3 linked regions of the Neurospora crassa OR74A genome follow. The protein of the gene in region 2 interacts with the protein of the main gene of each other region in a pairwise test. Links are inferred from orthologs where the notes say so. Each region holds a gene or a part of one and is shown on either strand. Other genes may lie near its edges.

Region 1 (3,550 bases), on a different chromosome or scaffold from region 2:
GGGCTTTGGCCTTCTTGTTGAGCTTGGGCGGATGAGAGGGCCTGGAGGTGGGCGGTATTTGCTGTTGCTGGCTATGGTGGTTGTTGATGTTATTGTTGTTGTTATTGTTGTACTGTCCTCGTCTTCCTCCTCGTGAGTAAGGTCCAGGACTCCTGGGGCGATAAAAGTCTGGGTGTGTGTTGTTGGTGTAGGTGTTGTTGTTGTTGCTATTGCTGTATTGTCTTACTCGTGAGTAGGGTCCGGGACTCCTGGAGCGATAGCAACCAGCGGGCTGAGGGACCTGAGGCCTGTTGTTGTTGTTGTTGTTGTTGTTGTTGGTGTTGGTATGGTAACTTCGTGTTCCTGCTCCCGAGTAGAACGGCGGCAGAGGTTGTTGCCAATGCGGTATGGTCGTTCCTGGGGCGAAGGTGTTGAGATGAGTAGGAGGGATGAAGCCATAGCCCATATTTGGGGGCGGCGCATATCCCATGCCATATTGCTCTTGCCGAGGATAGTGCTGTTGGTTTTGGTATTGGTATTGTTGTTGTTGTTGCTGCTGCTGAACAAACTCCCCCTGCCATATTGGCGGGTAACCCGGCTGGTAGCCGAAGTGATTGTGATCCATTTGGTCCACTGTTTGCTGTATTTGTGCCTTAAGACCGTCTTGAGGCTGTTGTTGTTGTCGTTGTAGTTTGTCCTGCTGCTGACCCAGCCTTTGACACCTTCTTTGCTCCTGCGTTTCGTTTCCGTTTTTGCTGCCCCTTTGACCCTTTCCAGCGGAAGCCACTCTGCCCTGTTCTCCAGCCGCCTGGTGAGACGGTTCTGAGGGGCCTGGTAATGTCTCGTTTGATTGTGCGGTTCCCTTCTTAGCCAGGTGTTGTACGCCAAACACAGAGCACAGTTTATCCGCCTCAAAACTGTCTTCAGCCGTATGAATGCACCTCGTCGAAGGTTGGTTGGCCAAGAACGGTTTGTATGTGTTGAAATATTTATTGCGAGGCAAGTAAGGCAATAATGGTGTAGTTGGCAATAGTTGCCAGTCCTTTGTGAGACGAAAGCGACCTGGTGTGTTGAATATTCGTAATCTGTTCATCATCATCCTTGAGATAAAAAGACGAGGCCGGTGCAAAAAGGTGCCGCTACGGACCACTTGGCTCCAAGGTGCTTGAAGTCGGCCCGGCTCGCATTCAGCTGTAGGCCACAGCTGTTGAGGAAGATGTGCGGTAATAAATATCCAATAAGCCGTGTTCCTGGACCTCCAAACAACTCAGTGAATGAGATGTCACACTTTTATCAAGAAGTGATGTTGTACGCCTGTTTGCGGCCTCTGTGCTTTTCAGGGGACGGGCAAAATATCGGTTAGGAATCTAGCCAATCATACATTGAGAAAACCCGTCAAAGCGGGGCAATGTTGCTTCACTCGCAGGCGGCAGAACTTTCAACGCCAATTCGACAACCAACTACATACACATATCCATGTGACTTCACTCATACCTTTTCTTCACCCGCTGCTGTTTGTTCCCTCGTAAAAGGGTAACCATCTCAAATCAAACGCACAACAAAGTTGTCACTGCCACCAGAGACAGGATAGAACTTATAAAGGACGAAATTGTGGACCCGAAAAGAGTAAGAAATGCCTGCGGTCAAGCGAAAAGCTGCCCCTACGCTGGGTGCTAAGCTCCAGAGACGTGTTCGTCCGAGATTTGAAGCCGAGCCCGACTCGGATGTGGAGGGGAGCTCAGATGAGGCCCCTAGTGAGGAAGAAGGCGGCGGCTTTCACACAGGCAGCGACACCGAGGAGGAGGAGGAGGATGAAGAGATTGAGGAGGGCAGTGAACCAGGCAGTGACGATGTAAGGGTTTTTGTTTTTTTTCTGTTTTCTTCAAATGGGCACAAAAAAACAATACTATCATTTTTTTTTTTAAAAAAAAAAAAAAAAAAAAAAAAAAAAAAAAAAAAAAAAAAAAAAAAAAACTACGACTAATGCTCAATAACAGGACTCCGACGCACCCTCAGAGCACGGCGGCGCCGGCATCGACGCCTCGCAGCTCTCATTCGGTGCTCTCGCCCGAGCCCAAGCCTCTCTCGGCGCACTGAAGAAAAAGAAGAAGAAGAAGGGCGGCGATGAGGACGGCTCCGATGACGATGAAGAGAAAGAAGAGCCCAACTGGAAGACCGAGATCGAAAAGGGCATGAAGGCCAAGGTCGAGAAGCACCACCGCACCAACAAGCACGCGCCCGTCGAGACGACCTCCAAAAAACCCGTTTCTCGGCGTCGCGACTTTCTCGCCAACGAGCCCGCCAAGCCCAAATCCCGGGACCCACGGTTCGCGCCCCCCGGCATCGGCGGCAGCTCCGGTAAAAGCGTAGTAGATGAGATCAAGGCGCGCAAAGCCTACTCGTTCCTGGACGACTACCAGGAGGACGAGATGAAGCAGCTGCGGATGGCCATCAAGAAGACGAAAGATGCCAACGAAAAGGAGGAGCTGCAGCGGGCGCTCCTGTCGATGGAGAGCAAGAAGAAGGCGCGCGCCCGCAAGGATAAGGAGCGCGAGCTGTTGTCGGAGCACAAGAAGAAGGAGAAGGAGCTCATCAAGCAGGGCAAGACGCCCTTCTACTTGAAGAAGTCAGAGCAGAAGAAGCAGTTGCTTGTGGAGCAGTTCGCGAGCATGAAGAAGAGCCAGGTCGATAAGGCGATTGAGCGCAAGAGGAAGAAGATTGCAGGCAAGGAGAAGAAGGCGTTGCCGTTGGCGAGACGGACGGCTGAGGATAGGTAAACGAAGGGGAAGAGTGGATTATTGCTTGCTTGAAACACTGGGGGTATACTATAAATGGCTGCATGGGAGACATACCTAGGTATCAAGGACTGATAGATGAAGCAGGCGCGCAAAAGGTTGGAATGGTAATATTCACAAATATTGTTACAAATCACCCCACAAGTGCTGGCTATGCTTTTTGAGGTGATCTTACTCGGTAGATTCCCTATAACAGAGAACATTCGGCCGAGATGTACAGGAAAGAAGAAAGAATCACTTGCAGAAACTCTGGTCTAACCCTCCAAATCTATCCCTACCAGCCCGACTTCCAGCCACAGTAGTATCATACATACACCTCACTCACTTCTTCCCGAAATACTCCGTCTTCTCCAAAGCCTTCTCAAACATCTCCCTACACCTGACCCTACTCCCCAGCCTCGCGCACAACAAAAACGCCCCACTGAGCTTCCTGTGCAAGCTATACGTCTCTTCCGGCGGCGGTGCCAGCCTCTCATGGATCATGACGGGGATCTGCGCTTTGACCCTCTCCGTAATCGTCTGATCTCTGAAATCATACACTTCCGGCGCACTCTGCAGGAACGGCTCAGCCAGTGTAACGACACTAGTGATATGCGCCTCCAGCATCGCTCTACTCTCATGACCCGTCAGATACCCCAGCTCTTCAGAGAGGGACTTGACCGCGGGGCGATCACCCCGCGACGCGGCTTCGAGCAGGCGGATATACAGCGAGATGAACTCCTCCGGGTATTCTCGGCTAGCGCCAAAGTCGAGCAGCTCCAGCCGTTGTTTTTCGG
Region 2 (4,195 bases):
TACCACGACTACGTTGAAACTCAAGTCAATCATTTCGGCCTGGGCAATGAAGCTGGTATCGTCTTGTCGGAATCATCCCCCGTATACCGACTTGAGTCGCAAGCACTGCCAGGCAACAAGCACCTCAGCAAACTGCTCGGCAAGCCGAAGCCCATTTCGAGCAAGGATAAGGTCACCCTGGAAGCAGAATACATGCTGGCGCTCTCTGCCTGGAACGACGTTGGCCAGTGCTGGTGCGCTGGCATCTCAGCCAGCAGGGGGGCCGAGCTCGCCGTGGAGATGGCCAAACATGTCATTCCCCAAGCCATCGTCGTTGAGCACGTCCATCCGAACGCGACGAATGACCCTGGGTCCATGCCCAAAGACATTGAGATTTGGGGATACTATCCGGACGCGGACGACAACAAGCGACTCCTGGCTTGGATGGACGAGTTGTACCCTGGCGAGCGCGAAGCTGACATGAAGATGGTCGACGCAAACAACAAAAAATCGCTGTCCCTCATCAACAGAAAATACGTCAAGATCGGCGAGCTGGAGTACGACTATGCCAAGACCAGCGGTAGCCACGGCATGTTTGTCCACAAGCTGTCGGAGGAGTTGCTCGATCTGGATGCGGCGACGTACAAGGTGGTCGTCAGAGCCAAGACGAACCATGGAGCCCTGGATCATACATGCATTTACCGCCTGAAACTGTTTGGGGAGGAATTAGAGTACGAGGGCGAGGAATAACAGGATTGATAATGGGTATCTGGGCGACGGATCTTGAGCTACCGAATACGTATTGAAGGGAAAAGCAAGGAAATTGGGAATGGGGCAAGGCGTTTTGGTCCTTTTTTTTTTTTTTATCGCTTTCAACTTTGGGAAACGTACATATGGGTGGGTCTAGTGGGTTGGTTTTATTGCGGGTGTCTACCTACGAAGGAATCATGTGAGCGAGCGATACCCGTCTTCAAGCTCATTTTTTTCGTGGTTCAATACATTATGCTTTCATGATAGTTTGGCTCTTTTCATTGCTCAGGCACGGTGTTGATGTTCGAATGTTGCTGTTCTAAGTGAAACATGTAGATTGCTGAAGTTGTGGGCGCTGAGATAAAACCACTACAATTCGAATTTGGTTCGATGCAAAAGCTACTGTGAATTTTCTACTTCAGCCCCGTACAACTGCCCATCCAACCCATCATGAACCATAGCAACGACTTGAGAATGTCACTGGGGGCTGACAACTCGATGGTCGTCTGTCTGCTCGTATGACCCTAACCCTGGTCTGAGCTGGCCGCGAGTCCGAGACCCCTGCTGCAGATCCCCTCGCTTACAGTGGATGAGGTGGGTCGAGCTGGCAGAATTGCTCTCCGCCAAAAGTTTTCCCATTCGCATCGAACTGAAAGGCCACCAGCGACGACCCGCAGGCAATTGGATTCGCTCGACTAGCAGACCCGACCTTTGGAACTTCGTCGAACCCACCACGCCCAATTTCCAGCACGTTCAGACGATACAAACACAATGGCTCCAGGAGGCCCCAAAGGCCGCGGTGGCAAGGGCAAAGCCGAGAAGGAGAGGTCCAAAGCCAACAAGGCCGAACACAAGACGTTGAAGAGGAAAAGAGAGTTGGAGAACCTCGAGGCGCTTCAGAAGAGAATCGACGAACTTGTAAGTCCTAGTACTGAACCCCCGTTTCTCACCATACAACCGCACACGCTTCTAAATATTGTGTCTCAATCTACTAGGACCCCAAATCCACCGAACTCAACAAGTTCTCGGACCTTCCCCTTTGCGAACCTACCGCCTCTGGACTACGCGCATCCCATTTCGAGGTCCTAACCGATGTCCAACGCGCCGCCATCCCTCTCGCGCTCAAAGGGCAAGATATCCTCGGCGCTGCTAGGACAGGTAGCGGCAAGACCCTCGCCTTCCTTGTTCCCGTCCTCGAGAAGCTATACCGTGCACGATGGACTGAGTACGACGGTCTCGGTGCCCTCATTATCAGCCCGACCCGTGAATTGGCCGTCCAAATATTTGAAGTTCTCAGGAAGATTGGTCGCAACCACAGCTTTTCGGCAGGCTTGGTCATTGGTGGAAAGAGCTTGAAGGAGGAGGCGGAGCGTCTTGGGCGCATGAATATCCTCGTCTGCACACCTGGCCGTATGCTGCAGCATCTCGACCAAACGGCCGGCTTCGATGTCGACAACCTCCAGATGCTCGTGCTTGATGAGGCCGACCGCATCATGGACATGGGTTTCCAACAGGCCGTTGACGCTCTTGTTGAGCATCTTCCCAAGAGCAGGCAGACCCTGCTGTTTAGCGCCACACAAAGCAAGCGTGTCTCGGACCTTGCCCGGTTGAGCTTGAAGGACCCCGAATACGTCTCTGTTCACGAAGCCGCAGCATCGGCGACCCCCGTCGGCCTCCAACAGCATTACATCGTCACACCTCTCCCTGAGAAGCTCGACACGCTATGGGGCTTCCTACGAACGAACCTCAAGAGCAAGATTATTGTGTTTATGTCCTCCGGCAAGCAGGTCAGATTCGTCTACGAAAGTTTTAAGCGGATGCAGCCCGGTATTCCACTACTACATTTGCATGGTCGCCAAAAACAAATAGCACGTCTCGAGATCACGAACCGGTTCACGTCCGCGAAATACTCCTGCCTCTTCGCCACCGATGTCGTGGCCAGAGGTGTCGATTTCCCCGCCGTTGACTGGGTCATCCAGGTCGATTGCCCTGAAGATGCCGACACCTACATCCATCGCGTCGGCAGAACGGCGCGTTACGAGAGCAAGGGCCGCGCCGTCTTGTTCCTCGACCCCAGCGAAGAAGAGGGTTTCCTTAAGCGTCTCGAGCACAAGAAGGTGACCGTCCAGAAAGTGAACGTCAAAGAAAACAAGAAGAAGAGCATCAAGAACGAACTACAGTCACAGTGTTTCCAGTCACCCGATCTCAAATACCTCGGACAGAAGGCTTTCGTCTCGTACGTCCGTTCGATTTACCTGCAAAAGGATAAGGAGGTGTTCAAGTTCGACAAACTCGACCTCGACGGTTTTGCTTCCAGCCTGGGTCTCCCAGGTACTCCACAGATCAGATACCAGAAGGGCGAGGACGTCAAGAAGCTCAAGAATGCCTCGCGCGCCGCCATGTCCAGCGGGTCCGACACCGAAGGCTCGGACGGCGAGATCCGCAAGAAGAAGAAGGAGGTCAGGACAAAGTACGACAAGATGGCCGAGCGTCAAAACCAGGACGTCTTGTCGACGCATTACCGCAAGCTTCTCGGAGAAGATCAGGCAGAAGACAACGAGGAAGACGACTTCCTCTCGGTCAAGCGCGTGCTGGACGACGATGCCGCCCTCGACGACGCCGCCGGCAATGCCAAGTCCGGCACCAACCCCGACGGCACGGCCAAGGTGGTCAAGCTGGGCAAGAACGCCGAGTTGGTCATCGACTCGCACCGTCGCGAGAAGCTGCTCAAGTCCAAGAAGAAGCTGCTCAAGTACATGGAGAAGGGCCAGAAGCTTGTGTTTGACGACGAAGGAAACGCCCACCCGCTCTACCAGCTGCAAGACGAGGAGGACTTCCAGAAGGAGGGCGACGCCAAGGAGCTCAGGCAGAAGTTCGTCGAGAGCGAAGCCACCAAGGTCAAGGAGCAGGATGTCGAAGACAAGCTGCTGGCCAAGCAGCGGAGGAAGGAGAAGAGGGAGCGCGCCAAGGCAAGGGAGAGGGGAGAGGAGGTCGAGAGGGAGAAGGGTCCCCTGCAGCCGGCGCTGCTGGACGCGCACAGCGATGTGGAGGAGGATCCTTTGGCTTTGCTCAGAAGTTTGCCTGTTGCTGGCAAGGGCGGTGACAGCGGTGACGAGAGCGAGGACGATAGGGAACCGCCTAAGAAGAAGGCTAAGAAGTGGTTCCAGAAGGATGACTCGGATACGGAGTATAGCGATGACGGCAGGCCGAGGAGGAAGAAGGCTAAGATGGAGGGCGGCAGGAAGGTCATTGAGATGGATCATGAGCCGGATAACTTGCAGGATTTGGAGGCTTTGGCCGCTGGCTTGTTGGAGGATTGATGAGTTGGTTTTCAATGTTGGTGTTGGTGTGGGAAAAGGAGAGATATCGGGGTTCGTCATCCAATCATGGATGTTTACATACGTATTTTGCGATAGTTTTAGACTTGTTATGATACCTAAACCACGTATTTTGACAAAAGGGTCGG
Region 3 (4,289 bases), on a different chromosome or scaffold from region 2:
GGAATGCAGCGTCAACAACGGAACCGGCAGAGGACGAGCTGTTTGGAGTGTTGAGAGAGTTTGTCCCAAGCTGTCTGCTTCTGAACAAGCTACTGGGTTCAAAGCCGCCTTCTCCAGACAAGCCTAACGAGTAACCGCAGACCTCCATCTTGGCGGTGAGCCCTCGCTCCTCGGGTCCCAACATGGAGCCATCCTTGGTTGTCAAGTAAAAGACCCATATACATCGCCGGGTGGTATCGACGTGGACGAGGTGGCCATCCCGGCGCAAGGCATCCTCGACGACTTGTGGCTGGAAGGTGTAAGAGGCTGTGTTGGCGGCAACGGGTTCGTAAACGCGAAAAGAAATGGCGGAAAGATTATTCTGCAGGAGAGACGCGTGAGTTAGGGGGGGGGAGTGGGAGGCGGTGGTCCGAGGACGGGACAGGCCAGCATACAATTAGCAAGGTATTGGTATCATAGTCGCCAGTGTCCATATCTGAAATAGAGATGCCTTTGGAGGCGGAGTCGCAGAAGTCGTAGTGACCATGCACCGGGCGCGAAGGCGTGTTAGCGGAGTGGGATGAGGGCGCATGTAGGCCGGCGACGGCGGCCTGAGGGACGGTGTGATGGCGTGTTGGGATGAAAGTCTACTGTGGCGACGCTCAGAAGTGGAAGCTGTGGAAGCCGAACTTCAAACAGCATGGATGATGAACTCGGTAGTTGTCTTGAGCTGTACGTCGTTGGGATGCTGGACTCCATGGCAGCAAGGCCCCTGTCCATACAGCGCGAACCGTCGCGGATCACCGACCATGCGCCCACGAGGTCATTTGCGGGTTCGGGACCTGGGAGATGGGACGGAGTGAGGAGCTGTAAGGCGGGAGGGGGATGCGATGGGATGACGGGATGCGATATTACTGTAGGTTAGTGTCGTGGGACTGAAGGATGGTGGACATCGGTTCAGGTAGGTAGGTAGTTGGCGGTCCGGTGGTAGTAACGAATACGGTGACGGCGGGCAGTAATCGTGACTTCACAGCCGCCATCGAGGTGGCCGACTCGAATCAAAAGGAATTCGGTCCAGTAAAGTCCATTGCAGTCAGTTGGGTTCCAGGTCGGCGGGATGCCCTGCCCGCCGATGCGACAGGCGAACAGCCACGCAGGCAGTTAGGTTCGGATCAGCGACGGGGGAGGACCCACACTACCTCTAGAGGTATCCACAGCTGAAAGGACCCTGCTGCCAAGCACAATCCAGGCCTGCCACCTCACCTACCTAGAGGCACCCGGCCTAGGTACTGCAATGACCTGCTGACGGCGACGCCCGCCTACCAGAATTCAAAGGTCCACCACGGGCAGTCCTCCCGTCCCGCTTCCTCTTCAAGCCGCCTTATCGCCCTACTACCTTTCGCTTTATCGCCGGTGGCTCTCCGCCTTCCTTATTTGGCGACCATGGCACTTCTCTGAACTTTTTGCAGATTTTCTGCCGCAAAAAGTTCAGATACGGGTTAGGGTTGTTCTCCAAAACTTCCCATTCAGCAGATAGTAGCAGTTGAAGCTTTCTCTGCTTTCTCAACATCTTCCATCCTTGCCCCATCCCTCATCACCAACAAAACCACCCATCATGAAATTGACAAATCCCGGCGCGGTGCCAGTGTACGTCTATTTGCCATTGGAAAAGAGAGATCCGCTGTGAAATGCTAACCATCATCGCAGATACACCGTATCTGGGCCGTCGACTGCGAGACCCCTTCCAGAATGGCTTGCCCGCCGCAGAAAGAGATCGGCCAAGTACGAGCCCGAAGAACTCAACAACTTCGAGCTCCTCCAGAACTTCGACTTCGAGGAGGCCAGCAACTGCGTCCGTGTCAGTGAAGATGGCAACTGGATCATGAGCTCCGGTACCTACAAGCCCCAGTTCCACGTCCACAACACACAGGAACTGTCGCTGTCTTTCGCTCGCCACACCAAATCCGAAAACACCACCTTCATTATGCTCAGCCAAGATTACACCAAGAGCGTACACCTCCAATCCGACCGTTCGATCGAATTCCATACCCCCATGGGATGTCACTACGAAGTCAGACTCCCGCGCTTCGGCAGAGACCTTGCATATCTCCGTCAAAGTACAGAAGTGCTCATTCCCTCTGTCGGTTTGAGTGCGGATGGTTCTGGTATGGGCGAGGTTTTCCGCCTCGATCTGGAGCGCGGCCAGTTCCTGAGGCCATGGCAGGTGGATGTGGGTGAAGATGAGCCCGGTGCTGGTCTTCAGGGAAGCATCAACGTCGGAGCTGTTAATGTCGCGGCCGTCGCCGAGTCCACACACGGTCTTTGCGCCTTCGGAACGACCGTCGGCACAGTCGAGTTCTACGATCCCCGTAGCAGGAACCGCGTTGCTGTATTGGGCGGCCAAGAGGGCGAAATCACTGCGTTGGATTACAGCAGAGACGGTCTCTCTCTTGCGCTCGGAACAGGCACGGGTATTGTTCAAGTTTTCGATCTGAGAAACCCTCGCCCGCTTATGCGGAAGGACCAGGGCATGGGTCTTCCCATCAAGAACATCATCCACTTGACGACTCCTACCGAGGAAAAGAAGCTTCTCACGGCCGATAAGAGAATCATCAAGCTCTGGGACGAACAGAGTGGCGACCTCTGGACCTCAATCGAGCCGACCGTTGACATTAATCATGTGGCGCATGTCCCCGATTCCGGCATGCTATTGACGGCAAACGAGGGCAAGCAGATGCACAGTTTCTTTATTCCCAACCTTGGCCTGGCTCCCAGGTGGTGCCATTTCCTCGACAACATGGTCCACGAAATGGAGAACGAGAAGCGTGTCGACACATACGACAACTACAAGTTCCTTACGATACCCGAACTCAAGCAGCTCAGCTTGGCTCACTTGGTTGGCAAGACCAACCTGTTGCGTCCTTATATGCACGGTTACTTTGTACATTCCAAGTTGTACGACCAGGCTCGTCTCATTGCCAATCCGTATGTCTGGGAAGAGGAGCGGGCCAAGCGCGTCAAGGAGAAGGTTGAGAAGGCTCGCGAGAGCCGTATCAGAGGTGTCAAGAAGGTCAAGGTCAACCAGAAGCTGGTTGACAAGATTGTTGATCGTTCCGACAAGAAGAAGATTGCCGCTGGCGTCTTGGGCGATTCTCGTTTCGGCAAGCTGTTCGAGGATGAGGAGTTCAAGGTCGATGAGACGTCCAGGGAGTTCAGAGCCCTCAACCCCAGCACCCAGGTTGGCGGACAAGATGTCGCAGTACAGCATGTCAAGGACGACTCTTCAGTTACCAGCAACAGTGACGATGAGAGCGATCCGGAAAGCGAGGTCGAAAGCAAGAAAAAGAAGAGCAAGAAGAGCAAGGATGACGTGGTCATGCAGGTCTCGTCGTCCAAGATTGCGGGCGGCAAGGCGAAGGATACGGCATTCGGCCAAAGAGCTCCAAGGACCGGGCGCGTCACTAAGACCCGAACGGACGTGGTCGGAGAGCAGAAGATTACGTTCGTGCCCGAGTCCAAGAAGAAGAAGCAGGCTGAACCCGAGGCTGCACCAACACGGAAGAGACATGATGGGAGGCGAAGTGCAAGCACGAACACCTTTAGACGACTGTAAAACGCCAGAAGCTTATTGGTCCAACCCTATATACTATACATGTGAAAAAGTCATGGTATCTTTCATGTCAACTCCTCCAGGCCGTGGTGAACCGGCCAAGAACATCATTGCCGTCCACGGCACACATTTCTTTCCGAATACGAGTCGCAAAGCAATAGGCTCGCGCGACCAGCGATACCCAAAATATACCCCAAGCTTGCCATTTTCGTCATCAAATGGTTCATTATATCTCAACTCGTGCTGTCTGATTTTCTCTTGCGCCACACCGGCTCACTTCCGACTGAAGTTGATGCGTGTCTTTCCTGACTTCTCCGGCTTCCCCATGCCCTTTTCCAAATCCAGATGCTCGGGTTTGATGCGCGGGGTGGGTGGCACATCATCGATCCTTACACGGCCTTTATGTTGGGATCTGGTTGATCGGAAAGATCCCTTGACCGATCTGGGGAACTCGCTGCGTCGTGGGGTCAAAGCCGTGACGACCCTCTTTGCCGACTTTCGAATGGTCTCCCTGACCTTCCACTCATTTTTCTTTGCCAGGAAGAAGAGAACTGCGCTACCGACTGTTGGAGGGAGGGTCAATATCATGTCCGGTCAGTGCAGTATTGCTGATGGGCGAGAAAGACTTACCACCGAAGATGGTGACGACACAAACAACCACAATGATGGCGATCAGACCACCTTGAGATAGCCCGACGTC

Evidence for each region.
Region 1: the proteins of NCU04439 (region 2) and NCU03824 interact in binary tests that used the Saccharomyces cerevisiae proteins (3 or more experiments, as listed by UniProt). The link is inferred for Neurospora crassa OR74A from reciprocal best matches to the Saccharomyces cerevisiae genes HCA4 and RRP36.
Region 3: the proteins of NCU04439 (region 2) and NCU03961 interact in binary tests that used the Saccharomyces cerevisiae proteins (3 or more experiments, as listed by UniProt). The link is inferred for Neurospora crassa OR74A from reciprocal best matches to the Saccharomyces cerevisiae genes HCA4 and ENP2.

Annotation. Positions count from the first base shown.
Region 1 is NC_026505.1:2,530,902-2,534,451, reverse strand, and holds NCU03824 (hypothetical protein), read left to right. Parts: upstream 1-1,437; 5' UTR 1,438-1,612; coding exon 1,613-1,831; intron 1,832-1,976; coding exon 1,977-2,756; 3' UTR 2,757-3,034; downstream 3,035-3,550. Other genes in the region: NCU03825 (hypothetical protein), read right to left, coding at 1-1,078; stk-25 (ABC1 protein), read right to left, coding at 3,096-3,550.
Region 2 is NC_026504.1:3,354,623-3,358,817, forward strand, and holds NCU04439 (ATP-dependent RNA helicase dbp-4), read left to right. Parts: upstream 1-1,379; 5' UTR 1,380-1,500; coding exon 1,501-1,647; intron 1,648-1,724; coding exon 1,725-4,049; 3' UTR 4,050-4,184; downstream 4,185-4,195. Other genes in the region: NCU04440 (hypothetical protein), read left to right, coding at 1-729. UniProt on the Saccharomyces cerevisiae protein: ATP-dependent RNA helicase required for ribosome biogenesis. Involved in the release of U14 snoRNA in pre-ribosomal complexes. Required for pre-rRNA cleavage at site A2.
Region 3 is NC_026506.1:2,245,950-2,250,238, reverse strand, and holds NCU03961 (WD repeat protein), read left to right. Parts: upstream 1-1,487; 5' UTR 1,488-1,594; coding exon 1,595-1,626; intron 1,627-1,686; coding exon 1,687-3,592; 3' UTR 3,593-3,862; downstream 3,863-4,289. Other genes in the region: NCU03962 (hypothetical protein), read right to left, coding at 1-361, 435-473; NCU03960 (hypothetical protein), read right to left, coding at 3,863-4,152, 4,220-4,289. UniProt on the Saccharomyces cerevisiae protein: May be involved in rRNA-processing and ribosome biosynthesis.